Callithrix jacchus: one gene and its partner. The protein of the gene in region 1 purifies or fractionates together with the protein of each later gene. This does not show direct contact. Links are inferred from orthologs where the notes say so. Each region holds a gene or a part of one and is shown on either strand. Other genes may lie near its edges. The genes, in order: USP1 and PHLPP1.

The links.
Region 2: the proteins of USP1 (region 1) and PHLPP1 purify together in Homo sapiens (affinity purification with mass spectrometry; 6 studies listed by BioGRID and IntAct, counting the BioPlex papers as one, with this or other methods). This does not show direct contact. The link is inferred for Callithrix jacchus from reciprocal best matches to the Homo sapiens genes USP1 and PHLPP1.

What each region holds. Positions count from the first base shown.
Region 1 is NC_133508.1:99,524,377-99,539,053, forward strand, and holds the start of USP1 (ubiquitin carboxyl-terminal hydrolase 1), read left to right. Parts: upstream 1-6,526; 5' UTR 6,527-6,786; intron 6,787-7,250; exon of another isoform or gene 7,251-7,622; intron 7,623-9,966; 5' UTR 9,967-10,036; coding exon 10,037-10,206; intron 10,207-11,615; coding exon 11,616-11,736; intron 11,737-12,298; coding exon 12,299-12,403; intron 12,404-13,218; coding exon 13,219-13,379; intron 13,380-14,677. UniProt on the Homo sapiens protein: Negative regulator of DNA damage repair which specifically deubiquitinates monoubiquitinated FANCD2. Also involved in PCNA-mediated translesion synthesis (TLS) by deubiquitinating monoubiquitinated PCNA.
Region 2 is NC_133514.1:105,677,704-105,692,643, reverse strand, and holds the start of PHLPP1 (PH domain leucine-rich repeat-containing protein phosphatase 1), read right to left. Parts: upstream 6,704-14,940; coding exon 5,131-6,703; intron 1-5,130. Other genes in the region: uncharacterized protein LOC118146920, read left to right, coding at 6,066-6,524, 6,574-7,089. UniProt on the Homo sapiens protein: Protein phosphatase involved in regulation of Akt and PKC signaling.

The DNA of each region.
Region 1 (14,677 bases):
TAATGATCACAACCTTCTGTACATAATATATTCACTCTAGCAGACCCATTTCTGGGAGCCTTTTAATCCCTTTTTGAGCCACCTGCCTACCCTGGCACTTCTGGCATTTCATTTTTTCTCCCATGCTTTTAGGAGCCACTGTAGTAGTGAGTGTTCACATCAAACTCTTGGGGGTCCTTGGCAGAATATTAAATCCTGTATTTGGAAGAATACTCCAAATTCGATGTAACTTTCCCCATTCAATTTTACATTCCAGCTCCCCTTGCTTAAGCATCATCTGAATCCAGGCCCATGTATTCTTCCTAAGTTCCTGTTGCTACATGCTTGTCTAGGTCTTAAATTTTGGGAAACAGTCCTTTACCTATACTCACCAGGCACAGCACCTTCCCAACTAGGTTATGCTATGATTTAACCCTAATTATAGGTCCACTGGCCAGAAGACTAGATGAGAGGTGTGAGTGCTGGGGGAAGGGAGAAGGAAGGGAGGACATGCCTTTCAAGTAGAAGCCTCTGTAATGTTTTCTAATACAGGAAAGTGATAGCTCTTAGGAGGGAGGAGGGGCCACACTTCAGGCATCAGAGGAGCCAGGGGAATTGAAATTTTCATGATCACTACCCGCATGTCCTGTGTGTCAGGGTGCTAGATTTTCTCAACCATGGCCCTGACTTTGACACAACAGACCTATTTTAGGCATTTAACCATCTTTTAAGTTTGGCCACTCTAAAGTGGTCTTGGTGCTCAGCTTTCTCCACTCTTCCCCTGCAGATGAGAGCTGCTTTTTGAGCAACAAAGAGGAGCTCTGGTTTTCACACCAGACCTTCAATTGCTTATTACCTACCCTCAGCTGTTCTTTATTTTTCTGTAATCAATGGAGTTTAGCAATAACCATCCAATTCTATTATCCTCATAGCTACAACTTCCACCGTACATCTTAACTGCCAGATATATCACACCTACTAGTGCATTCTCTTCCACCTGGTACATCATCCTGATTGGACCATTATCTTGTGCCAGGAGCTGACTATGCTTCACCTACCACCTCCTAGGTAGTCTATAATTAAGCTCCCAAACCCCATCTGATTGTCTACTTTTTCCAACCAATCCTTGTACTAACTCATGCAGGCAGGCTTCTTGAGGAGCAGATGTGGAGAGAGACAAAGCTGGAGTATGAGATGTGAAAGGAAGGGAGAGGAAGTAGGACTGGGAAGAGAATGAAGTCAAATTCTAGTACAAGTCCAACAAAGCTTTGGCCAGCTTGGCCAAGAGTTCCGGAGTGAATACTGACCATCAGAGGTGTCCAGTGGTGGGCCATAATGGCTGAGCCTTTATAGTCCAGTCTTGCTTAATCACCCAGTTTAGGCTGCAAAGCGCATGACTGTGGGCAAGGCCACTGTCTGTGGTTAAAGCAGAGCCTGATGGAACTGACAAGTGGAGGTACTCTTTGCAGCTTGGGAACAAGTCCTTCCTTGAAGGGGGATCTGGGGAGCACATCTTCATATCTACCACAAGGGCATACAGATATCCAGCATATTCTCTTTTCAAGGAACCAAAAGGTGTACAGTACTTTTCCATTTTTCACCTTTTGGGGTATCTTCGCCTGCTGACGATTTTTTTTTTAACTTAGTACAGGGAAGCATAGCAGAGAATGCTATTTGTTCCCTAATATCCATTTTATTATTCTTCCTTAATATTATAACCCTTGATTTTTAGTTGGGTATATGGCCACCCAGAATAATGCTGTCATATGACTTAAGCTCTGGCCAATGAGCTATAAGTAGGAATGGTTTGTACAGCTTCCAGGAAGTACCTTTAAAGAGAGGGGACCATGATCATCTTTATCCTTTTTTCTTTCCTGCATAGGAGTGTAGACATGATAGCTGGAATCCAAACAACTATCTAGGACCAAAAAATAGAAGCCACATGTTGAGAATGGAAGAAATTAGGTCCCTGATGGTCATGGAATCACCATACTAATCTAGACTGCCTACTTCTGCTTTCTGTATACATGATAAATAAATAAATGTTAATTTTAGCTAAGGCCACTTAAAAATATTCTGTTACTCATAAACGAACCTATGCCTATTGGATGCAAAGTTTGGTTCCTATAAATTTGTGTTACACATAACCTTAAAAGAAATGTGGTGTTTGTTTAGTAGAAGCATTTGGGCAGTGGGTGGTAAAGACTCAGATACTGCAAGATGAAAAACTGGTGACCCTTGTTGTCCAGTTGCCAGACATTTGGTAAACCTGTTGCCAGCTTTAGAAGGCAGATCACATACCAATCTGTGGCATGAAGGGAATAGTGACGTCGGCGTTGCTGCCGAGCAGCGTGCTTGCATTGCTGGTGCATGAGGCGCGGCACGGGTCCTTCAGTCAAAGCCATTTATCCGTGTGCCGACGCTGTCTGCCAGCCTCCTCCCTCACCCGCCCTCCTTCCCCACATTCCTCCTCCTCCTCTCCTCCTCCTCCTGCTCCACCTCCTCTTCGTCGTTGTCGTCCTCCTCCTCCTCCAAGCTGCTAGCTGACAAATACAATTCTGAAGGAATCCAAATGTGACTTTGGAAATCGTCAGAGAAAACAACCTTAGAAAATGGCACAAAATCATTGTGCACCAGGAGAGAATGTGGGGGCGCAAACCCTTTTCCTCCCAAAGGGTTGTGGCATGAAGGGAAATGGTTGGAAAAGGAAGGAATCCAAATGTGACTTTGGAAATCGTCAGAGAAAACAACCTTAGAAAATGGCACAAAATCGTTGTGCACCAGGAGAGAATGTGGGGGCACAAACCCTTTTCCTCCCAAAGTTGTGGCATGAAGGGAAATGGTTGGAAATGGCGGAGACTAGCCTGGCCAACATAGTGAAACCAGTCTCTAATAAAAATACAAAAATTAGCTGGGTGTGGTGCATGGTGGCGTGCACCTGTAATCTCAGTTACTCAGGAGGCTAAGGCAGGAAAATTGCTTGAACCCAGGAGGCGGAGCTGCAGTGAGCCAAGATCATGCTATTGCACTACAGCCTGGGTGACAAAACAAGACTCGATTCCCAACACCTCCCCCTAAAAAACACCTCATAATTTGAAACTTTAAAGGGCGGGAAAAAAACCACACTTCTTCTTGCCTTCAGACTGAAGTACAGTTGGCCTTCCACATTCATGGGTTCCAAATACATGGATTCAACCAACCACAGATCAAAGAACCTTATGAAAAAAGGTACACAAAGTTCCAAAAAGCAAAACTGGAACTTGCCACATGCCAAGTGTTAAATACTATGTTAAATCCATGTGAATGAAGTGATGTGTAGACATTGTATTAGGTAATTGAGTAATCTAAAGATTATTTAAAATATATGCAGGATGTGCATAAGTTGTATGCAAATTTATGCCATTTTATATATGGGACTTGAGTATCCTTGGATTTTGATATCGACAAGGGTCCTGGAACCAATTCACCATAGATACCAAGGGATGACTGTACATAGAAACAGTGCCTGTGAAACTTAGGAAGGAAATATGCCTGGCATTTACCCATACAAGACTGACAAATATAGGATTAAGAATGCTGTGAACCTATTAAATCCCATTTTTCCAGTGGGATTAGCTGTCATTAAGAGTAGGGTAGCTGAGGAGTGCACAGAAACCAGGAAAAAAGTTTCTGGGCTTAAAAACTAAGCAAGAACTGTGGCTAGAATTTCTCCCACAAAGAACTGACTGAGAGCAAAAGGATGAGAAGGATATTAAATTTTCACATGAATTATATTGCCAGAGATACACCAAGCTTCTGCTATGGCTATTGACAAGCACAGGTGTGGAGGTGTTTGATTTTTCTGAAGCAGCATTAGCAGAAATCTGTGTCCAGCCACTTGTCCTGTGGGTATTGACAGGCAGGACCTAGGACATGCATGGCACTGGTGCAGATCATAGTGGATATAGTGAGGTTCTAGGGTCAGCAGTGCAAGCAGCTTTCTGATGGTGGAGGTTTCCGAGGCATTGCAGTAGCAATGTGATTCAGAGACATCATTTCCGGATCATAGAAGAGTCATTGCTGAAAAACTAATCTAGAGCCTATTTAATCAACCCTCCCAAGTATGCGATACCATTGAGTTTCTACTAGCTGAAATGGATTCTATTTTCTGCAACTGAATCTTAACTGATACCACATATTGAATACAGGAAGAATAGTGGCTGCAGACAATAGGATCTCAGGGATATGGGAAAATAGAATTGCTTATCCGTTCTGGTAGAGATTGAAAGTAGCAGTAATTCTGCTAGTACTAGAAAATGAGACACTGCCAGTCTGTGATACACAATGGCTAAGAAAGACTGACTTACATATTTTCTAATCTTGTCCTTGTGTATTTTGTTATATGCTGGCTCAACATCTGTATGTTAAATAAGCATCTCAATCTTAATATTCTAATGATGATCCCTCCCATTTAGCCCACTAAGACCCCCATTTTAGCAAGGACCAATAGTTATCTAAGTTGCTCAGATGAAACAAGACAAAACAAAATCATTGTTATCCTTGCTTTTTCTTTCTTTTTCTGGGGGGGGACATATGACAAGGTTTCGTATTCTCACCCAGGCCAGAGTGCAGTGGTGCATCTCACTTCACTGCAGCCAGAGATCCTCCCACCTCAGCCTCCCGAGTAGCTGGGACTACAGGCAAGTGCCACCACGCCCGGCCAATTTTTGGAGTTTTTTTCATAGAGATGGGTCTCACCGTGTTGTCCAGGCTGGTCTTGAACTCCTGGGTTCAAGTGATTCACCGACCTTGGCCGCCCATTGGATGCCCGGCCTGTGTTTTCTTACATTATCATACAGCCAATCTATTAGCAGAGCTCATTGGCTATACTCAAAATATAGCTTGAACGCTACCAGTTTTCAGCAACCCACCATCTTATTCCAAACTATCAAAATTTATTTCTTGGCTTATTTAACCAGAATTTTGGCTGATCTTTCTGTTTCTACTTTTTTTTGAGACAGAGTTTTGCTCTTGTTGCCCAGGCTGGAGTGCAGTGGCGTGATCTTGGCTCTCTGCAACCTCCACTTCCAGGTTCAAGTGATTCTCCAGCCTCAGCCTCCAGAGTACCTGGGACTACAGGCCTGTGCCACCACGCCTGGCTAATTTTGTAATTTTAGTAGGGACAGGGTTTTACCATGTTAATTAGGCTGGTCTTGAACTTCTGATTTCAGGTGATCTACCTGCCTCGGCCTCCCACAGTGTTGGAATTACAGGTGTGAGTCACCGCGCCTGGCCTTCTGCTTGTACTCTTGAAGGTCAACGTGTATCCTGCCATTCCCCAGCTCAGAATCATCCAACCACTCCCATCTCCTTACTCAGCTTACCCAGGGCCCTGCCAGTCTCATCCATGTCCCATCTTCTTATTCTTCTTTTTTTTTTAGTGATGGAGTCTTGCTCTGTCACCAAAGCTGGAGTGCAGTGGCACAATCTCGGCTTGCTGCAACCTCCGTCTCCCAGGCTCAAGCGATTCTTCTGCCTCAGCCTCCTGAGTGGCAGGGACTACAGGCGCATGCCACCACGCCTGGCTAATTTTTTGTATTTTTAGTAGAGACGGGGTTTCACCGTGTTAGCCAGGATGGTTTCGATCTCTTGACCTCGTGATCCACCTGCCTTAGCCTCCCAAAGTGCCAGGATTACAGGCATGAGCCACAGCGCCCGTTCTCCCATCTTTTCTTAAACTCACTGTGCTCTAAGCGCCCTGGCCTCGTTGCTCCTTTCCAAGACACCAAGCACATTAAGCTTCAGGACCTTTCTAACTTGCTGTTCTCTCTGCCTGCACCATTCTTCCCTCAGATTCCTCCAAGGCTCGCTCAGTTTTATTCAGCTCTGCTCAAATGTCAACTCAAAGAGATCTTTCCAGACTACTTATACGGATAAGTATCCATCACTTATCTTAGTGTCACTTGACTCCCTCTCCAGAATGTAGTGCTCCTTTATGGCAGGGAATGCATTTCATCCCTCAAGCCTTGAAAAATGCCTGGTACATAGTAGGCGTCTTAAAAATATTTGATTAAATGGATTTGGACTGAACATAACTTACTTAACGGCAGCACTCGCGTTGAGGTCACCTCACCAAAGCAAGCACACAAACACAAAACGAAGCACAAGCAGATGAGGCCTGCCTGCCGCTCCTGCACCCTTTGGGAGGGCCCGCGCGGGAACGCTGGGAAGCTCCTGTGGCCGGAGCTGGGCCTGAAACTGTTCTTTCGTTTCCTTCTGCGGCCGAGGAGGGGAAGGGTTAAACAGGCGCACCGAAATGGGAAAGGGGTAAATAAGAAAAAAATGAGGCGTGGAGGGGCTGAGGATGGGGCCTCAGCTCTACAGCATTCGCCTGAGAATGTACTGTTATCTGTGGCAGCACCTTGTCTCACTGGATGGCCCTAGGCCCACTGGGGCTGCGACTCAGAACCGAAAGCCTCAGCGTGGCGCCAGCGGCTACCCTGGCAGCCATTTTCGGAAGCTGCTATCCTAGTAACCCCGCCCGGGCGCGTACGCACGAACGGGAGGCGGGGCTTGCCGCGAGGGCCTCGCTCCGGAAGCCGCACCCTCCGCGGCGTCCCACCGTCGAAGATTAACAAAACGCCAAACAAGATTTTAACAGTCGGAAGCGAAAGCGCGCACTCGAGCGCCAATGAGAGCGGAAGGAGGGGCACCGCGCCTGAGGAACGCACCGTATGTCGAACAATGATTGGCTAGAGCCCTCCTTTCTTCTTTTTTTTCTATTAGCTGGGCTTGCTGTTCCCGCCCATCTAATTGGCTTTGGTCTAGGTACTTCTGATTGGCTTCCCCCGGGCGGTGGGGGGCGCGGTTTTGGGGACTATTCATCATGGATTGGTGAATTTGGGCTCCTTCTCGAGGCGGTGGCCCGTCGGTCTTTTCTCTGTCCCGTCTCCCGACCCGTACGCTTTCCCTTAACTCGCGCGCACGAATGGTTAAAAAAAGGGTGTGAGGCTCGAGCCCGCCAGCCAGGCCGCTAGCACTTCGCGCGCGCCCTCAGCGAGGACCCGCACGAGCTGCCCGGCTCTGTGCCTGCGCTGTTTGAAACTGCGGAACCGGTTAGGCTATTGGGGAACTACCGTCCCAGTTGGCTCCGGAGCCCGTGCGTGCCGGGGGTGAGTGGCCGTCGCGAGGCAGCTCCTGACTTTCGCGTCTCTGCAACGTGGAGACTAGAACCGGCAATTTCAAAGGACGCCACCTTCAATCGCAGCGCTGGCGCGGGCGGAGGCTAAAACACGGGGGTCCTGAGACTGAGGAAAACGCGCCAAGTTCCCCTCGGTGGTGGAGTGCGAAGGACCCTAGCGGTTCAGGCGCTCAGCGAGTGGGGCCGCTGCTTCTTGCGTTCCTGGCCGTCCCGGGGCGGGCGCGGATGGGCGCAGCTCCGGGGATGTAGTTCGTGCCGGTGCAAAGCGGGACCGAGCGGTGGCCCGGGTTCCCGCTCTTGGGAGCGGATGGTCACTCCCCCGCGGGGAGGGCGATCCGACCAGATTTTCCTGGGGCCGGGGATCCGGCGGGCTCGGGGCAGGGACTCACCTGTCGCACCCACACTCATTCGGGTTGGACTCGCCGGCGTCACCGCCGCGGAACTCGCTTTTGGCCATGACCAGGTAAGAAGGGCCTGGGAGGAGGGCCCGGCGCTCGGGCGCGGGGGCAAGTTCGGCCGGCGCCGGAGAGGTACTGCCAGGGAGACCCCGGGAGTGTGTTGGCCCTGCACCCTGACCAAGCTGCCAGCGGGAGCCGTGTGTGCCCCGGGCGGGGCGCCTGTCTTGCCGCCACCGGGACCCGAGAAGGCAGGTGCGGGCTGGGCGTAAATAGGCCAATTCCACGGCGAGGGCGCTCGGCGCGGGGGTGTGGGCCGAGGACGCCGCCGCCAGCCTCCCCCGGCCCGGTGGCCCGGTGGCCCGGTTGCTGCACGTCCTTCCAGTTTCTTTTCCGTTCCCGAGAGCGGTGAAGGATGGGGAGAAAGAAACGTTTCCACGCAGCTTGCACTGTGTCGGTAATTGCGAAATTTTACCGCGCATTTTCTTTCACTTACACTTTCACCAGAAGTATTTAGAACGCCACGTGTCTTAAACCTTGGCGAAGATATTGTCCTTGTTGTAGATTTTTCTCGAGAAATCGGAATCGAGTCGTGTCATAAAGGAAAGAAATTAAAACTGTTGGGACTGAGTGTTCACGCTGTCAACAGATAATGGTCGATTCGTTGTGCTTTCTGCGGAAGTTGAGTTAGTTACAGGAGAAATATTTTGGATGTAACAGTCCCCCAGTTATAAGGAAAGCTAGGAGCAAGAAATAATAGCGCGGAAGATACTGCATCTGGCAAAATGTTGCATTCTCGGTGTGAGCATTGCTTTGAGGGACCAGGAGTTTGTTTCGTTGATTAAGCTGACGATCCGCTATTTCACCCCCCTAATCATTCTTCTGTGAAGTCCGGTTACTCTGTCAGTTTGAGATCCAGTTTCTATCATCCATTAGAATGGGCTCTCGAGAAAAACCTTTTATCAGAATCATTAATGCTTGGCGATCCCTGAGAACTTAGCGCAGGTTGGTTTATCAGTCAGAAGACAGCGCTTCCTGAGAAGCATTGGATATGAACAGGAGAGTAAGTGGAGTTGGTGACAGAATGGGGAGATTGGTCACTTTACAGATCATCCTGACTTGGGTCTCAAAAATGATTTCAGTGCTGAGTTCAGTGTGAATTCCTAGATCGCTGTCAGCCAAGTGAAATGCCTATTAAGGATGGAATTTGAATGAGTTTTGTCTAGTTCATTTTATCACTCTGCATTTCAAATTTGAAAGTCGTTGCTGAGGTTTTGGGCTTTAAGTAATTTAATGACAATACTCCAGTCAGACAATTTTTCCTCATTTGTTCTACTGAAATATAGGACTGAAGTAGAAAATGTTAACTCCTACAAATGTTGCCATTATTTTTTCATGTGAAAGTTTTACTTTAAAACAGGGTAGGAAAGTTGCAAATGGCAAACAAGATCATCATTTTTCCTACTGAAAGCACTATTTTTAAAAACCAAAGTTTTTTTTTAAAAGTTTGGAAAACGAGTAGAATATTGTAGTTTCTAGTGCATTAAGAGTTTGATTTACGGGCCGGGCGAGGTAGCACACGCCTGTAATCCCAGCACTTTGGGAGGCCGAGGCGGGCGGATCATGAGGTCAGGAGTTGGAGACCAGCCTGGCCAACATGGTGAAGCCCCGTCTCTACTAAAAATGCAAAGAAATTAGTCGGACGTGATGGTGCACACCTGTAATCCCAGCTACTCAGGAGGCTGAGGCAGGAGAATCGATTGAACCCGGGAAGTGGAGGTTTCAGTGAGCCGAGAATTTGATTTACACAGAGTGCATCAAACAGTTTTTTATATCACTGTCTCAACTTTGCATATGTTTTATTATCTTTCACTTGGGTTTTTAGGTATAACTTAACACCATCCCTATGCCTTGAATGCAGATTATACTTTAATAAGCTTTTTAGATACTGATACCTTATTTTCATGTATTCATGTTAGTAACTAGAAAAGGCCTTGGAAAAGGGGACTCATCGTCCAGCACTATGATTTTCTGTTCATCCTTGTTTCCCACCTTGTACTTGGGAATTAGAGGTGGTAGTGCTCAGTCAGTATTTTCTGAATGCATTATTATAATGAAATACTAAGTTTTTACTAATACTACCTTACTGTAGGTCTATTAAATAGGATATTTTGTAATGCGACCCTTAATCCATAGCAGGCTGATTTAAAAAATTCAGTAGCTTTTATTTTTTGTTCTTTATGAATAGTGTGGCAAGCTCCTTCATTTAAACAATAAATATTGAGTGCTTATTGGCAGGCATGAGGTTTTCAAATATTAATTTCTAATGTATCATTCCCTTGGTAAATTTGTTTTCAAAATTGATGATTTTGTTACCTAAAACTGATACAAATTTTTCTCTGCGGTTAACAGATATAATTGGTGATTACAACTTTTCCCTATAAATTTGTTCTTGACAACTCCTTGGGATTTGAAGAAAAAAATGCCTGGTGTCATACCTAGTGAAAGTAATGGACTTTCAAGAGGTAGCCCATCAAAGAAAAACAGACTTTCTTTAAAGTTTTTTCAAAAGAAAGAAACTAAGAGAGCTTTGGATTTCACAAATTCTCAAGAAAATGAAGAAAAAGTTTCTGAATATAGAGCATCTGAAATGTATGTATCTTACATTTCTGTACTGTTAAAATTCTATGGTGAAGCAGCAGTGAACTTGATTGACAACTCCAGTCTGACTTTATAGAGGCAAAAAAAAGTACACCTAAGTGTACTTTTTAGTAAGTCTAGTAGTTTATAGTAGGAACAGCAAAACTGGTGGTTCCCATAGGGATCACATCCATAATGTTTAACTCATGAACACTGTGCTCAGGCATTTAGACTAACTTGGAGAAATATTTATTGACTAAAATTGTCTTTCTGAGTTTAAATTTGATTATTTGCAATGCAAAACATTTGTGTAGGGATAAAAGGTGATATATATTTGTTTGGTTCAGAAGACTTGGCAGTTTACATTTTAAACTTTGTAGTCATATATAATTAGTCATACCTGTTGGAGGCATACGATTGTAAATCATAAAAATAAACCTATAAATAAGTAATGCTTTTGATGCAAATAAATTCTTTAGCTACTGAAAATAAATCAGAACAAAGTAGAATACTTTATTTCATCAACAGCAGCTCTAGCTGGAGTCTGTACTCCTTTCCTGTTTAACAAATAAGCACTCTGCTGGGTGACTAAGGTGGATTTGGTCCCATGTGTTAATTTCCTAATAGCTACCAATAATCAGTTGAGATTGAGAGAGAACCTTTTGTTTATCAGCATTCATGCTTCTAAATACTTTAAGATGCTAGAGTAATGATAGCTAGCAATCGTAAAATAAATGAAAATACTGGGAGGACCTAGTGGGGTTTTTTTTTGATTGTTAAGGAAGTAAAAGAATAATAAACTTGAACTTTTTTTTTTGGAGACAGGGTCTCATTGTATTGCCCAGGCTGGTCTTGAACTCCTGGGCTCAAGCAGTCCTCCCAAGTAGCTGGGATTACATGTCAGTGCCACCACATCCACCTTCTGAACATTGTGAGGAATAGCTATATAATTTTTCTTTTTTTGGCCAGCAGGAAGTCATATATAATTCTCTTCATAGACTTTCTTTCCTCTGAATTCTGACTGATAGAATCTTACTTAGTGCAGCCTCTCCCAAATATTGTCATGGTTAGTTTATTCCCAGGTTTTTATTCAGTAAAACTACTTGATTAAAATGTCAAAGTAGGTGAAACAAATCACAGTCTTAGTTCCTCAATTTCCTACTCTGTAAAATAGGATTAACATCCTTCTGAGGGAATTGTTTTGAGGCTTGTTAAGTGTAATAATGTTTTTAAATACTTTTAAAACTTATTCTGGGCATGTAGCAGTTTTTGAGCCTGTATTTTTTAAAATGTCATGTGAACAAGGTTCACATACTTTTTAGATTATACAACTTTTGGGAAAAGACTAAATCTACGGAAGTAATATTTTCTCCTTGTTTAAGATGCTGCTTGATTATCCTTCTCCCTTCTATACTTAATAGTGATCAAGTTGTTCCTGCAGCACAGTCTTCACCTATAAACTGTGAGAAGAGAGAAAACTTGTTACCATTTGTGGGACTGAATAATCTCGGCAATACCTGTTATCTTAATAGTATACTTCAGGTAAATTGACAATTTTTCTATATAATAAAGCTTTAGTCGGCAAAGAATGATGTAACAATGTAACATTTAATGTTTCTGAGCTATTGAAGGACTTTAATGTTCATACTGTCTTTGCCTTTGATTGTAAATATAGTAGGCTAAAACAATATGTTGCATGTTATTAAACTTTGGGGTAAGAGAAAGTGATACACTAAATAAAGGTGGGATAATAAAATTGAGTAGACCTTGATAAAATGGAAGATGTCTCAAAGCTTTAATTTCTTTCTCTGATTCCTGGTGCTACAGTGATATGTATCTTATCCCTTGGAAATAATGTTGGCATTGTGTGTCCTTGTAACCTTAAAGTCTTAGCAATATCTGCCCAGGCTCAGTGCTTTGTGCCAATGAGGGAAGACACTGGGCTACTACTGATGGGGTGGAGAACAAATTTTGACACAAAGCTTAATCTCAGAATTTTAGGTAATACACATTAAAAGTGCGCTATAGAAAGCATGATATTGTTTTAATGATTTTATGTATCTTGTTGGTTCAGTAAACACTGACACAATCTCACTTTTTATAGGTATTATATTTTTGTCCTGGTTTTAAATCTGGAGTGAAGCACTTATTTAATATTATTTCAAGGAAGAAAGAAGCTCTAAAGGATGAAGCCAATCAAAAAGACAAGGTAGGAAAAATATATAAAAGAACAGAAAATAACATAAAATGCCCAAGTAAATGAATGGAAATTCATTTGCCTGGAAACGAAGAGGATTTTGAGGGGAGGATGACAAAGATTATTTCTCTGTTAATGAACTATTGTCAGAAACGCAGTTGTTTTTCATTCTTTCAACTTAGCTAACTAGATAATTCCCTTTTACTGAGTGTTTGCTCTAGTCCTCAAATCTGTTTATCATACTTTCCTCGTTTGTATACTATAATCACCATGTTATACCCATGTATAACCTATTTACCCATTGTGTTTTCAAATTGACTTTTTAAAAAATTTAAATACACTGTATTTAAAACCATTGTAATTCACATGAATAGTAATTAAAAATTCCTCTTAAAATTACAAAAAAGACCAGGCGTATTGGCTCACACCTGTAATCCCAGCACTTTGGGTGGCCAAGATGGGTGGATTGCTCAAGCGCAGGAGTTTAAGACCAGCCTGGGTAACATGGCAAGACCCTCTCTCTACCAAAAATGCAAAAACTAGCTCGGTGTGGTGGTGTGCCCCTGTAGTCTCAGAGGTGGGAGGATTGCTTGAGCCCAGGAGGTTGAGGCTGCAGTGAGCCTCGATCAAGCCATTGCACACTCCAGCCTGGGCAACAGAGACTCTGTCTCAAAATAAAAAAAAAATAAGGTTGATTTGTCTATCCCATAAAATTAGTGCTATAATGCAACTTAGAAAAGCTAGTAAAGTGAGACAAAGACAAATGAAGAAGGCACTTAATTTGTTCACAAATAAAATTATTGGTTTGTGTGTTTCTTTCTTGACAGGGAAATTGCAAAGAAGATTCTTTGGCAAGTTATGAATTGATATGCAGTTTACAGTCCTTAATCATTTCGGTTGAACAGCTCCAGGCTAGTTTCCTCTTAAATCCAGAGAAATACACTGATGAACTTGCCACTCAGCCACGGCGACTGCTTAACACACTCAGGTATAGCCTATGATATAATTTTAGGGTTTCAATTTAGCTACTTGTTTATATCCTTGGAGGAGAATGATATGTGAACAAACAGAAATAAAGGGCAAGGAAAGTAAGAAACTCTAGGTCCACAGTCCTTTATATCCCAGAGGCTCTGAATACTGGAATTTTTTTTCATAAATTTGGTGCTAAATTCGTTAGATCTGAATATATTAGGCTTTTTATAGTCATTATTCATATTTATCTCTAATGTGAATATTCATACATCCTTCTATAGAAATAGGATCATGTTTAATTATAGAGTACTACCATATCATGTTGGTGATAAATATTTTACTTATACGTCGTATTATCTTTGAATCTGAAAATGTCTGAATTTCTAAATGCATGGTCCTCAGATTAGGAGTTATAGAACTATATTCAAAATATGTGTAAGAACCGTAAGTTCCAAATAATGTATTTTTGTTAATATGTGATTAGAGGAGAACTATTGGATAACTGGATTAGATTGCTTTTTGTTATTTTCTTAAAAATGAAACTTTATATATATAAAATAGCCTTATTCAAATAAAGTTATACTAATAGGGCAAGTCTTTAAAACAATCACTTAAGCATTTAGTTTAGAAATAGAACTAGGTGCAGTGTATTGCTACACCTTAGTTAAGAGGTATTGTAGGCTGGGCATAGTGGCTCACACCTGTCCCAGCACTTTGGGAGGCTGAAGTGGGTGGGTCATTTGAGGTCAGGAGTTCGAGACCAGTCTGGCCAACATGGTGAAAACCCACCTCTACTAAAAATAGAAAAATTGGCTGGGCATGGTGGTTCACACCTAAAGTCCCAGCTTCTTGGGAGGCTGAGGCAGGAGAATTGTTTGAACCCAGGAGGTGGAAGTTGCGGTGAGCCAGATTGCAACACTACAGTCCAGCCTGGGAGACAGAGCAAGTCTCCTGTCTCCAAAATAAAAAAGTATTATAACATGGTAACCAAGAGTGGGGTTTGACTACTGGCTTTTCATCCTAACTAGTTCTGTGACCTTGGGCAAGTTATTTAACCGCTGTGTGCCTCAGTGGCTATATCTATCTGACAATAGTGGTGGTGTAATAGTCCCTTATAGGGTACTATTGCTATTATGAAGATAATGTATATGTAGGAGATAAAGCATTTTGACTAAGACCTTGTATATGGTAAGCACTGTTAGTTATTAATATGTTTAGAAGAGGATCAAGTATATTAAATACATTATAAAATATATAAATATATTAAATATATTAATATATTTGGAAGAGGTTCAAAGTATTATAATGAAAAAC
Region 2 (14,940 bases), on another chromosome or scaffold:
GATAACATCTCTTTCTCTTTTTCAAAATTAAGAAATCGTTTCTCTATTGAGTGGCTTCAGGATATCTTGACTTTCACAGTACAATCAAACCCTTCTCCAGGCCAGATAGACCTGTTAAACCCTGGCACATAACAAAATCATTAAATCTAAGATGCCTCATTTGACAGACGTCTCATTAAATTCACTGCAAAATGAAGGTACGAGATGTCTTTGAAAACTGGGGGGAAAACCTGTTAAATCAAAGAAAACTTTGAGAGAGAGCTCTTCTCTCAAAATCCAGAGTTCACTCACATGAAATCGAAGATATTAATAGTATGTGGCACATCTAAAATCTATTGCCATGGGAGAAATGCCACTGTGTGTATATGTGTGTTTAACACATCCCTGGGGACTCAAACAGGATGAAAGCTAAAGAAAGAATCAGGGCACACACCATCAGCTGCTTAACAAAATTCCAAAAATTCAATTCAACAAATGTTAAACTAAAACATTAAATATTACACTAGGCTTCGATCACATACAGTGTCAGTGAATGTTGTGTTACCAGTCAATGAAAAGCTAAATTCAGGATTCTAAGAAAAGAATGAGAAACAAGAAAAACATTTTACACTTAAAAAAAAACCGTCTTTGTATATATCAATCATTTAAGGTGGGTGATTTGACAATCTTGTAGCAACCAAAAAATAAAACTTTCAACCTAAAACTTTACACAAACTCATTTACACTCTTCTCCTGCCCCTACATTATTTCAATGCATATAAAATTTTAGTTATTTAGAAATAACTGAAATTCAGGGAGAAGAACTTACTCTCCAGCACTAAATAACATATGAATTATGAAAATTACACAAGAGCATAGTAACACCAAGAAAGGATCATTAAAAGACAATTCCATTTTTTAATAATAGGTTTAGGTAAAAAAGATATTTAATGACAGATATTCTCAGTTACTTTAAAAGCTATATTTTAAAGAACCTGAACTGTCATGCACACACACACAATACATACACTCCCCTCAAACACAATACATACAAAAGTCATCCACTTTTCAGGCAAAGTGTTAACTCTCTACTTCCCAATGAAGATTTACTTCCCAATGAATAAGAGAATAAAGAACTATTAGGTAAACTTTACTTCATATCAACTTAAATGCAAGCATGACTATTTGCAACCAGAATATTTAGAACACTTTACTTCTCTTTCCATACTGTCTACTTATTTCTCGTCTTGGTTCTCTATATTTTTTAAGGCAGCATGATAAACAGAATGATCCACATTTCACAAGAAATACCACTTTGAACTAGAGTATGTCACCTCATAACCAACAAAAACAGCATATTTTCAGAATGCTTTTAACCAAGTGAAAAAATTCAAGTGTAAATTTAATTTAGCATCAATTCATGGAAAGTGATATGAATTGCAAAATAGAATACCCAAGCTCTCTATTCTCCATCCTGCCGAGGATGGAAAAACCACAAGCAAGGAAGGGTCAGATCTCTCTGTGCATCGGTTTCTCAGTCTGAAAAGAACAGTGTCACTGACTCCTCCTTAACACTGTTTTTGAAACAGTATATGAAATAATTTATGTGGAAACCCTTTAAGATGTTTGAAGATGATAAAATCCAATGTATTACAGACGTTATCAAATCACAGTTGTGAAGGATGGCATGTACTTTACAACAAAAACAAATAAATAGAAACATTAAAATTAAAGTATGTTTTAAAATGTAAACAAACCCTCTGTACTGAAAATTAAAGGGACTGTTCAAGCACACACTGGTGTCACATGTTCAAACCGTGTTACTCAATGCTGCTGTAATTATAGTAGTAAGAACCTACTCGTCAATATTATAGCTTAATGCTGAACTTCCCCTCTTGGTTTGCATGTAGGAAACCACGTTAAGGTTTGATCATTCCCAGAAGAGAAAAAAAAAAGGGAATATGAGAGGGATAAAGAGATTGTTCCAGAGAAATCCCAAGGAGTCACACATAAAAATACCTTGTCCAAGATTCACCAGGTACAGTGAGTGTGCACTGTATTCTGTCAACACCCTTTGTCATTGCTAAAATTCAAACTGAAATTGCTAGACCTCTCAGCTCTAAGTGGTGGGAAAAAAGAGTCAAAAAAATATAAAAAGATACAGTTTAATGCTGCCCTACATGAATGACAAAGGCTCCCCAGAGAGTCGAAAACAAAAGCTCATTCACATTTAGGAGTCCACAACTTATGTCAGGCAACCTAAGTTCTTGAATTTTTTTAACCTATAATTACTCTCTTTCAGGCAAAATTTAAGATGTCTGATTTTACAAGGATGTTAAATACTTAAGTAACTTCAGATAAAGCTCATTAAATTTTCTCATATCTTAAGTGAGCTAAGAGAATGGTGGCCTGGTAGATGCTATAACAATTTTCAAACCAAGTTTTCGTTAACAACTCTGTAATTAGATAGTACCTTTACCCAAGGCCTTTTTGTTCATTAAAGACTTTCATTTTACTTTACCCAAATAAATATTTAAATATTCAAAGCAACCACAAATGGGTTTCAAAGCCTCTAAAGAACAACCCTAGTCAGCTTACAAACACTAAAATTTAATAGAAAGGTAATTTTCAAGAGAGTAGACCCTTAAGACAATAGGTAAGTTCAATTTAAATAAAGATAAATATTCAAAAGAATTTGAAAGCAACTTCCTAGCTATCCTGAACCCCAACTATACATAAACAAACAACATGCAGCAATAAATTTAAAAATAAGTTATATATAAAATTACCAAATGGGGTACAGAATTTTCAAAAAACCCTGTAAAAGGTGTCATCTAAAACAAACATTAATTATCCTCTTCCTACAGAAAAAGAAAAAAAAAAAAACACTTCTACCAAAATGTAACTCTCTCCTGTTGAGGTGTCCTACATTCTGTTGGAACACGGAATTTCTAGGAATTACTCCCAGTCTGGTGCAAACCTTCACTATATGTGAAGCCCTGACAATGCTTCCATAAGTGAGATTACACTTCATTCATCAATAACTGAACTTCTTTGCACAAATTCAAGTGGATTCACCATACTAAATTTTGTTCTATGGCAAACGAATAACAGCAAAGATGTGTGGCATATTAACCTAGGCTTAAAATAATCTCAACTTTGCTTAAAAAACCAGCAGTTAGATAACTTTGTAACAATCAGGCATCTTTCTTCTAGGACACCTGTACACTGCTTTAAATTCAAGAATAGAGTGGAAACTGTGTGTGTCATCCCCACTTTTGTAAGCAGTGGGGATTCATACTCAGTGGCATGAATGCATTTATGGCTGTGCATATAGAAATAAGGCAGTAAGTGCGGAATGCGGTAACAATTACTGCTTTTCATAGAGAACAAAACAAGATTAAAAGATCATGCCAAACATTTAACTGGGAAAGACTTGTCATTTTAATATTAAGATGAGTTTTGAGGAAAAAACAAGTTCTTATTACCCACTAGAATATCTGGGACACTCTGGAAGAGAATCGAATGGACATTTATCACAATGGACATATCAATCATGAGCAAAACAAGGGATAACACACTATATCCATATAAAATGTGTTCAAACTCTATTTCATATATCCCTTGTTTTATATACGTTTTCTTCCATGTAGGTATAAGGGCGCCTATTTTTAATGCTTTTGTAAAATAACAACATTTTACAAATTACATGAATTACAGGAGAAAAAGATACAGCTGTTGATCTTACACAAAAAATCATCTATTTCCTGGGCCATAAACTTTAAAAGGCATGTCATCCAGTTGACAAACTGTCCTCAGATACTACAAATGCTACTGTATTATTATTTGGTTTTCTTTACAAGGAAAAGATTCATCAGAAATTCACTTAAGAATTTCAGAAAAACTTCCAAGGAATTTAAAAGGGCATCTCACTAGAAATGCTGTCAGTCTTGCGGATTTCAGTGTGGGAGTAAAGATGTAAAGATTTCTTCTTGCAAACTAACTAAACTGCCACTGGGGCACAAGCTGGACCGAAAGACATTAAATCGTAAAGAATAACTACAAATTAATGGAATTACAAGTATGATTATTCTTCCACCATCACCTACAACCTAAAAACCTAAAGGTGACGAAGATTTAACACTCCTGACTTAATTTTGCTATGCTAACTTTATTTAAAATAAAATTCCTTATCACTGAGAACATAGTTACTCAAACCAGAGGAAGAAAAGGATGCAAACTATTTATCAAACTCAAGTACAATATCCAGGACCTATAATATAGCTCCTGAATTTAGTACTAGCCAAGTCTTTAGCCAAAAGAGAAACATTACGTGGGTCACCCCAGTCAAGAATTTGATAATGTACTGAAAAAAGAAGGGGAAGATTTTAGATCATATCTGAAGAAACAGTAACCACCTAAATCCTTCTTGTAAACCCTCCTGCAAGTCCTACAGCAGTGGTCAGTTCTGACCATAAAGGATGGAAGAAATTCAAGAAGAAACAAGAAAAATCATTTTTTACGCAAGACAAACTTGCAGACAAAACAGAAATCGAGCAAAAAAGCGCTGGGGAAAAGTATCAGTGAAAAAAAGGACCCTTTTGTCAGATTTCTAATGGGGAATTTATGAGTGTGGCAGAGCTGAATAAACAAAGGCACCAGTTGACAAGTCAGGAGCTCCCGGTGGCACACACAGCTAGAACACTCAACTGGACAGTGAAATGCAAGCAAGAGTGTTCTAGAGCATTTCTGCTGTCATTTCTTCCGTCCGTCTTATGCTCGCTCACGTGACCGTTTACCTGAAACCCCAAACAGCCTGAAACCCAACAAGTCCCTGAGGAAGCACCTTTATGGTTAAACGTGCTCTTGCCGCTTTCAGGGGGATCTGCTTCCTGTGCTTCCTGATGATTCAACCACCTCCTCCACATTGCTTTCCAACCTCTGGGGCCTCAAGATTGATAAAACGCGCAGATTTACAGATTGCTCAGTTTAGTACTACACAGACTGTATGAAAAAGCTGTAAAGTTTAAGACAAAGACTCACCAGGACCCGAACTGACTCCTGGGTTGGGCAAACTGACAAACCATTTGAATCACTCCTCGGTCCTCGGCAGCGTTTGCACCCACCCGTCAAGGTAGGTGCCTTCCTTACCTGCATAGAAGCGAATGAGGCAGCCAATCTCCGAGTCCATGCCTTCCTCCTGCACCCTCCACAGCTCCCCAAACCCCAGCTGGAAGAGGTAGTCATTTTGGATCTGCAATGGCTTCTCCTCCGCCTCCAGGCGCCGGGTGGTCTCTCCGTGGAGCTGCACGTACAGGGTGGGCGGCGGAGGCACTTTCTCCGCGATCGCCCCGCTCCTCCTGGGGGTCGACTGGGGGCCTCCCGGGGCCGCGACTGTCGCCGTTTTCTCCCTGCACAGCCCCTCGCGGGCGGCTCCGCCCGGGCTGTCGACGGCCCTCGGGGCTTTCTGCTGCAGCGGAGGCAAAGACGCCGTCTGGGAAGGCGGCCGGGGCTGCGCGGGGCGGCCGGGACGCCGGGGCGGGCCCGGGACCCCCATCGGGGCCGAGGCCGGGTCGGCCTCTAGCTCTTCCGACGACGACGAGGAGCCGCCGCCGCTGCTGTAGGGGTCCAGCCGGTCAGACACGCTCTCGGCGCTGGGACTCAGGCTGAAGCTCTCGGTGTCGGAGGCCACAGGTCGCCGGGCGTGGGGCGGAGAGGCAGGGCCCCCCGCGAATGGCTCGCCGGGGCTTAAGTCCGAGGGCGCGGGACTGGCGCGGAGCGTCCACCCGCCGGGGCCGCCAGAGGGTAGGGGCAGGTCGGCGGGGGGCGCGCTCGGAGGACCCCCGACGGCACCCGGCGCGCTCCTCGCGGGCGGCGCCTCGGAGTCTGGCGGCTCCGGGGGCGCGAGTCGGGGGCCGGCCTCCAGGGGCGGCTCGGCGGCCTCCCGGGCGGCAGCGGCTCCGGGCCCCTGGCCCAGCACCTTCACGACGCCGCCGCCTTTGTGGCCCAGCTGCAGCAGGCGGGCGGCCACCTCGCCGGCCGTAGTGTCCAGCGTGCAGAGCACCGGGCGCTGGTAGGTCGAGGCCATGTGGCGGTCGAAGACGTGCACGCAGCCGCGCTGGAGCTGGTGCCTCACCCAGTCCCGGTCCGACGGCTGCAGCTGCAGCGTCTGCCGGTGCTTCAGGAGCAGCGTCTTCCTGTCCAGGCTCCGGGTGCACAGCGACGCCGAGGCCGAGCAGGAGGCGGGGAGGCCGGCGGCGCCGGGGGAGTGCGAGGCAGCAGCGGCCAAGGACGACGACGACGAGGCGGCCGCAGCTGCAGCCGACAGATTCCTCTTCAGCCGCCCTCTCCTCAGCAGGAGGGAGTTGGTGCCGCCGCCGGCCCCGGGCACGGGGGCAGCTCCGCCGGCGTTGGGCAGGGGCGCCCCGCGCCGCCTTCTGCGCCCGGTGCCCCCTGCTCTGCCCGGCAGCGGCCCCAGCGGCGCCTCGCCCGGGGCCTCTTCCCGCGCCCCGCCGCCGCCGTTCCCGCCGCTCGGGGTCCCCGGGGTCAGCGCGGGCTCCGGACTCCGGCCGCCCCCGGCCGCCGCCGCCAAAGCCGCCGCGGCCGCTGCCGCTGCCGCCGCCGCCGCCGCCGCTGCCGCAGCGGCGGCTGCCGGAGCCGAAGCTCGGTCCTCCCTGCCGGGCTCGGGGAGTCGCTGCGCCGTGGCCGCGGCGGCGGGCTCCATTGCAGTGGGGCTTCGCGTTTCCCCCCCAGCTCCGGAGGCAGCGGGCGGAGAGGGAGGCGATGAGGCGGAGGTGGGAGACAGCGGCGGCGCGCGGAGGAGGAGAAAGCCAATGGCGTTCGGCTCGGCCGTTCCAGGGGATTATGTGGCGATTCGGAGCATTCCGTCGGTGTCTCCGTGTTCCATCCCGCGCGCCCGCCTCGCCGCCACCGCCCCCCCAACACACGCCCTCCCCGCCCCGGTCGCGGGCTCCCCAGCGCGGGCCCCGCCCGCTCCCCGGGCCTCACCCCAGCGAACCAGCCGCGGAGCTGGGCTCATTGAATATTAATCACGCGCCGGCAGGCGGGGAGGCGGGAGGCTGGCAGGGCGGGAGGGCCGCGTGTGCCTAATGAATATTCATCGCCGCATGACGGCATTCCAGGGAGGAGTGGGGAGAGCCGGGGGATGGCCGGAGGCGGAGCTTCAGGGTAAACAAACGTGACGCGTGCGTACCAGGGCGGGGCGGGGGGGGCAGTTTCCCGGGAGGTTCCTGAGCCTGCCTCGGAGAGGGCGGTGAAGACAGACGCGCAGTGCACCTTGGGGGTTGTGGTTCTCGTCCGGGTATCGGCAATCTCTAGGGAAACATGACGGACTACAAGTCCCAGCGTTCCTTAGCTTCTGCCCCGCCGGCCCGCCTGCCCGCCTGCAGCTGGCCATGGCCAGTGAGTATTGTGCCCTCTGCCGTTGAACTCTGCCAGAGTTCTTAATGAACGCGAAAGCTCTTGTTTATTAACTTGTACTTTACCCGCACTCAAGCTCGTCAGATGACTTTTCTTTTCCGTGCCAATTAAAGATGAGGGCTTTCAGAGACTCTAAACAGTACGAAGGACCCGGGTCCTGCTCCTCACCTCCGCCCATTGTATGAGATAAGAGATACTCACCCGCCACACCACAGGATCACTGGCGGCGAGTGGTCCAACCTCACTTTCTTCCCACTTTTTCAAGACCCAGGAAGACAGGCGGTGTCTGGGAATTCTAAGTGAGACTGTCGTTGAATGACCTTGGTGGAAGGCACAACCTTAAGCCTGTCCTCTCCCTATCCTGTATCTGAAAAGGAAAATGACAAAGGACTGAGCTCTCATTGATCTTGAATTCTGAAGTAGTTTAATGATACGGAAAGCACTGGAAAGTAGAAGAAACATTAGAATGGAGACATGGTGAGGTATGAGATGGGCTTTTTCCATGTATTCTCTCTTAACGTCTTCTCTGGCTTTTTTCTGTCATCATTTAGGAAGAAAGTATTTTCTATCGCTACAATGTTTAGTCATAGTCTGAAAAGTTGTATTTTTGGTCAGTTGAATCAAAGTTGTAGGCTGGACTAGGGCAGTTTACTATTTAAAATAATTTAGTACATCTTTTTAATTGAATTACCATCCTCCACAGTTGCTTTATAATTCGGGTTTTGTTTTGTTTTGTTTTGTTTGCCACAGAGTTGGTCTGTTGCCCAGGCTGGAGTACTGTAGCGTGGCCTGGGCTCACTGCAACCTCCGCCTCTGGAGCCCAGGTGATTTTCCCACCTCATCCTTGGAGTAGCTGGGACTACAGGGTGTGCCGCCAGGCCCAGCTCATTTGTTATATTGTTTTGTAGTGGGGGATGGAGAGTCCCTTCATGCTGCTACGGCTGGTTTCAAGCGATCTGCCCACCTCAGCCTCCCAAAGTGCTGAGATTACAGGCATGAGCCACCGCGCCAGGCCAGGCCCTAAATCTGGATTTTCACCTAAGAACATTTTAAACTACATCCTATCCAGGAACTGCTTTAACATCAATTAAGTTACTAAACTTGGAGATGAAGAGTTAAGGGGGTTGGAGAGAGACCAACTGGAGCTTACAGCAAGGAAAGGCACGCTTGGGTTATCACAGTTTCATTAAACAAGAATAGAAGAAGCCATGGAGATAAAAATAAGTATTTCTCAATGATTTTTTACATTCCTGATCATTTTCTATGTTTTCATTTAACAGTTTACCTTTTGACCTCATGAAGCTATTTATAATATATATTTTATTTAAATTCAATCAACAGCAACATTAAAAATTGGGGAGATTGCAAGTTCTCCCAAGAGTGATAACATATTCAAATCAATTAATTTAACAAATAATTACAAACAGGTATTATGTACCAGTCACTGTGTTACAACAGTTGAACAAATCAGACACTGTCCCTGCCTTCATAGAGTTTATAGTTTAGAAAGAACAACATTCAAAAAGTGAGATTGAAGTAGAGAAGGGGGAAATACCATTGGAAACGGACATAAAACAAGGAAACTAACCTACTCTAGGAAGTCAGGCAATAGAGACCAAACTCTGAATGAAATTTTTTCGTGTCAATGAAAATGTGCATTTGTTGAAGGATCAGTCTCTGAAAGAAAGGAAGCAAAGAGGAAGCGAATATATTGAAGACATATTTCAATTACACTGATCTATATTGTGCCTTCAGTAGCCCCAACACAAACTATTTGTTCTAGAAATTCAAAGAGTGGTCTTTAAATTTAGGCATCCTTTAATAAGATTAAAAGAACAAAGCCCATGTTAAGTTTCAGTACTAAAACATGGAGTTTGTATACCTGTTTATATTCCTTAGCTGATTTCCTACAAACCCCTTTATATTTATTTATTTATTTATCTGCTTTATTTATTTATTTGAGACGGAGTCTCACTCTGTCACCAGGCCGGAGTGCAGTGGGGCTCTAACTCCCGGGTTCAAGCAATTCTCCTGCCCGAGCCTCCTGATTAGCTGGGATTACAGGCACCTACCACCACGCCTGGCTAATTTTTGTATTTTTAGTAGAGACAGGGTTTTGCCATGTTGGCCAGGCTAGTCTCAAACTCCTGACCTCAGGTGATCCACCTGCCTCTGCCTCCAAAAGTGCTGGGATTACAGATGGGAACCACCGCGTCCAGCCTGTTTGTTTGTTTGTTTGTTTGTTTGTTTGTTTGTTTGTTTGTTTGTTTTGAGACAAAGTTTTGCTCTTGTTGCCCAGTCTGGAGTGCAATGGTGTGATCTCAGCCCACTGCAACTTCTGCCTCCGGGGTTCAAGCGATTTTCCTGCCTCAGCCTCCTGAGTAGCTGGGACTATTGGCATACCACCATGCCCAGCTACTTTTTAATTTTTTTTTGTAGGTACTGGGTTTCGCCATATTGCCCAGGCTGGTCTGAAACTCGTGACCTCAAGTGATCTGCCTGTCTCAGCCTTCCAACGGGCTAGGATTACACACATGAGCCACCACATCCAACCCAGAATGTTTCTTCTCATCATAAATTCCGCACCATTGCCCTTTCTCCAAGAAATTACAATACAGTATTTAATCCACCTATGGTTCCTATCAGGTAACATTACACAATCACCACGGCTCTGCCTTTTTATTCTCTAGGAGTTTTATTTACTCTTTGAAGGTATTTATAACTAAAACACCTCCTTCAAGGGGAAAAAAAATTGTACAAAAAACATTGTTCTGAGAGGGCACAGTGGGTCGGTCATGCCTGTAATCCCAGCACTTTGGGAGGCCAAGGCAGGTGGCCAAGGAGTTTGAGACCAGCCTGGCCAACGTGGTGAAACCCCATCCCTACTGAAAATACAAAAAATTAGCCGGGCATGGTGGCAGGCACCTGTAATCCCAGCTACTCAAGAGGCTAGGACAGGAGAATCGCTTGAACCCAGTTGGCGGAGGCTTCAGTGAGCCAAGATCGTGCCGCTGCGCTCCTCCAGACTAGGCAACAAGAGCAAAACTCTTGTCTGGAAAAAAAAAAGACATTGCTCAAAGAATTTAGTATCCAAATATTGGGGAAAAGGGTACTGGAGAGCCATCACACACTCCGGTAGATAGGGACTTGGTACCAGGGATACCTAATACTAAGTTGTGGTGGGAGGAGGCAGGCAATGAACAGGATGTTCATCAATGAGATGTTACAGTATCTCAGCATAAAGAAGAAGGAAATGCATTCCTACCTCATAAAAGCAGTGTTTGCAGGGGTGGGGATCTAAAATAAGGTTTTCCTGGATTTCATGCATAGAGTCGATAATCTGAAAGATGACATATTCCATTGTATGCAGAATAATAAAAAGCAGAGCTAAGAGGAGAGCAAATGGGCCAGGGTCCACAGTGTAATCCTTCCCTTGTTCTACCCCAAGCCTCCAATGATGTTACTAAGCTTGGGGTAAGAGAAGAGACAGAAAGAAAACGAGAGCTCCTGAAGAATAAACAATCCCTTACCACCAGATCAACTGGAGCCTGGTAGTTGAAAGAACAAATTGATAAAGGGCAATGAAACTTCTACTTAGAGCTTGCTAGTATCATGAAACATCACCCAGACCATCTGTGCCAATGCACACTGTAAAATGTCTCCAAATAAGAAAAAGATTTCAATAGAAGACAAATGTGTTCCAGATACCCATGAAATAGCAGCTTCTCCTACTTAAAAGTGGAGTGGGGAATACACCAGTATCCTAAAACAACATATGTCATGAATACCCCCCCTTTAAAGTGTTCCAAATGTATGTTCTAATACCACATTTCTTACTAACCACACTTTTCAAAGAATCCCATTTTAAAATGCTAAAAGATAACCCTGAAAAGAAACATCAGATGAAAAAGTTGTAAATCCTGATGCCAACTTGTTATATTTTCACAGCTAAGTCTAGAAAAGGAGAACGTAATTTCCAATTTATTGCCACAGTTTACTTTATGCTATGTAATTTATAACTGACTTGTTGTGTTCTGCATCTAGGTTAATTCTGTTTGCATCCTTAGATCTAAGATAAAGGAAGTCATCTTTGGATGTTTCTTTTCTAATATAAGCTGTTGGAATTTTAATGGAGGCATAAATTGATAGCTGGGATGATTTCAGTCTGAGTTGTTAAGGGCTCAGCTGTGTCCAGAAATAAACTCAGAAAGATGCAATATACAATGTAATACATTTAGTTCCTACATTATGAACAAGGGATCTAATTATAGTTTCACATTTTTATATCCCTTGAGCTACTAGTGGTTTACCATGCCTAAATTGTTCACTGTTTACTCATTCTTTTTTACTATGAGGGACCCATTTAGCAAATTACTGCTCTAGTGCACTAAATGGGCCCCAGGTGGCCAAACTGAATTAATATGTTCCCTGTTCACTGGCAGGATGAGACCTTATGGTCTCTCTAATGTCTTACCCCTCCCTCATGAAATTTACAATTTGAATTCTATCAAGAGGTTGGATTGCTACTATCATTTTAGGTAGTCTGTTTTACAATATGGCTTGATAGCTTTTCAGATTTTAGTGCACTCTTTTTAATCCCGTAATTCTTTGTCTTGTTCTTATTTCTCACATCCTGTCTCACCAAAATAAACAGATGTTCCATACATGGCAACAATGAAGTTGAGACCAGAAATACAGGCCACATAAACCCACCCTGATACTCTAACAATGTAAATTATCTGGGACATTCATTCAGCAAGTACTTATTGAACTTTTTTTTTTTTTTGAGACAGATTCTCACTTTTTTTTTTTTTTGAGGCTGGAATGCAGTGGTACAATTTCGGCTCACTGCAGCCTCCGCCTCCCGTGTTTAAGTGATTTTCCTGCCTCAGCCTCCAGAGTAGCTGATTATAGGTGCCTGCCACCATGCCTGGCTAATTTTTCTATTTCTTTTAGTAGAGATGGGGTTTCACCATGTAGGTCAGGCTGGTCTCGAACTCCTGACCTAGGTGATCAACTCGTCTCGGCCTCCCAAAGTGTTGAGATTACAGGTGTGAGCCACTGCACCCATCTACTTATTGAACTTTAAGTTTAGGTATCATTCATCCTAAGTAAATAGTATAGACAAAAATACCTGATCTAATGAAGCCTATTTACAGGGATTGGCATTTAAAAAAAAAAAAAATCTTCAGTTAAAATCAACCTATTCTCTTCCATTATACAGATAATTCTTGTTTTGGGCAAGTGGGATACATGAGAATCTAGATATACAAATTACATATTAGAGTATAAATATTTCTTCTCAAAGTCTCATTTATTCTTTCCCTTATGAATGAATTTGTCACACATTAAGTACGCCTATAATATTAATACATTTAAAGTATATTAATCTTAAAAATTAATTTATTCCTAGCTTTTTAGAAATGTATTTTGGATTCTAACTTCACACAACCACCTAATACCTGTTTTGCATCAAGATTCCTATCTAGGCCAGGCATGGTGGCTCATGCCTGTAATCCCAGCACTTTGGGAGGCCAAGGAAGGTGGATCACCTGAGGTCAGGAGTTTGAGACCAGCCTAGCCAAGATGACGAAACCCTATCTCTACAAAAATACAAAAATTAGCCATGCATGATAGCGCTTACTTGTAATTCCAGCTATTCGAGAGGCTAAGGCAGGAGAATCTCTTGAACCTGGGAGGTAAAGGTTGCAGTGAGCTGAGATCATGCCTTTGCGCTCCAGCCTGGGTGACTAAGCAAGACTCCATTTCAAAAATAATAAAAAAAAATTAAAAAGATTCCAATCTAACAAAAATCTATCCTACGTCATTCCAAAGCATTTCTTCTTATTCTTCCATGACTTAAAAGAGAAAAGTTGTGCAGATAATGATTCCCGAGTACTTATATTCATTAATTATACCACGAAGAAGCAGTGTGGATATTCTCTTTTTGTCCCATTGTAGAGAGATTATAGGAGACTCATCAGTCCCTAGAAGTCTTGTCCTTTTCCCCTCTACTGCCTGCCACATCTAGTGGGTCTGGGCTTCTAAGTGTCTTAGTTTCCTGGGGCTGCTGTAAAAATCCGCCATGAAATGGGTGGCTCAAAACAACAAAAATATATTCTTTTGTTACTGATAAACTTGAGGATCCTAAAAGATGGGGTCTTTCCTCCTTCATTGCTGCAGAGCCAATACACAACTGAAAGTCAGCGTCAAGCAGAGCAAGGTTTATTCTGTGGCCAGGGAATGAAGAAGTGGGAGCCTGGCTGGAAAATCACCTTTTCAACTAGTGCAGGGTGAGGGGGCTAAAATGTAAAGTTTCCCTATTGAAGGAGTTGGACATTAAATGCAAGGGGAGGGGCCAGGTGCAGTGGCTCACATCTATAATTCCGGCACTTTGGGAGGTCAAGGCAAGCAGATCACTTGAGGCCAGGAGACCAGCCTGGCTGACCTGGTGAAACCCCATCTCTACTAAAAATACAAAACTTAGCTAAGCATGGTGGTACATGTCTGTAATCCCAGCTACTTGGTGAGTTGAGGCAGGAGAATCACTTGAACCTGGGAGGCGAAGGTTGCAGTGAGCTGAGATCATGCCACTGCACTCCAGCCTGGGCTAAAGAGCAAAACTCTGTCTCAAAAAAAAAACACTATTATGGCTGGGTGCAGTGGCTCATACCTATAATCCTAGCACATTATAAGGCCAAGGTCACCTGAACTCCTGATCTCAGGTGGGAGGCGGATCAACTGAGATCAGGAGTTCAAGACTAGCCTGACCAACATGGTGAAACCCCATCTCTACTAAAAATTACAAAAAGTAGGCAGCATAGTGGTGGGCCCCTGTTATCCCAGCTACTCAGGAGGCTGAGACAGGAGAATCACTTGAACCCAGGAGGCGGAGGTTGCGGTGAGCCGAGATTGCGCCATTGCACTCCAGCCTGGGTAAACAAGAGCGAAACTCCGTCTCAAAAAAAAAAAAAAATACTATTTTTAAAAGGACATTTTAATACACATTTTAATTCAAGAATTTAGCAATTTACAACCATCTATTATCATATGTATCAAAATTTTACAAAATATGGCCACTGCCTCCTCACCTCATAATATATGTGATCTTACCCATATTTCTGTTGTAAAATTGAGATGCCAGAAAAATCAAGCAGTGGGGCTCATGCTCAGGTGGGTGCATTAATTAATAAATCAGATAGAGTGACAGTGTTGATGGCACGATAGCATTTCTTAGTCTCCTACACATGCCATAGTTTGAAAGGTGGTGCCATGTAATATTTTGAGGAAGTGTTATAATGTTCATGGTTAGAAGTCAGATGTCCTGGCTCTAAACTGCCTAGCTAAGTATGACATGAGGAAGACATTTGACCTTAAAGAACTTTTTCTTACTGATTTATGTAATAAAGGATTGAACTACACATTGTCTCTAAAATCTCCTCTGGCACAAAGAAATTTCTCATTCTGACTCAAAGCAAAACTATCTAATTTGGAATATTGACAAATGTTTTTATTAGTCAC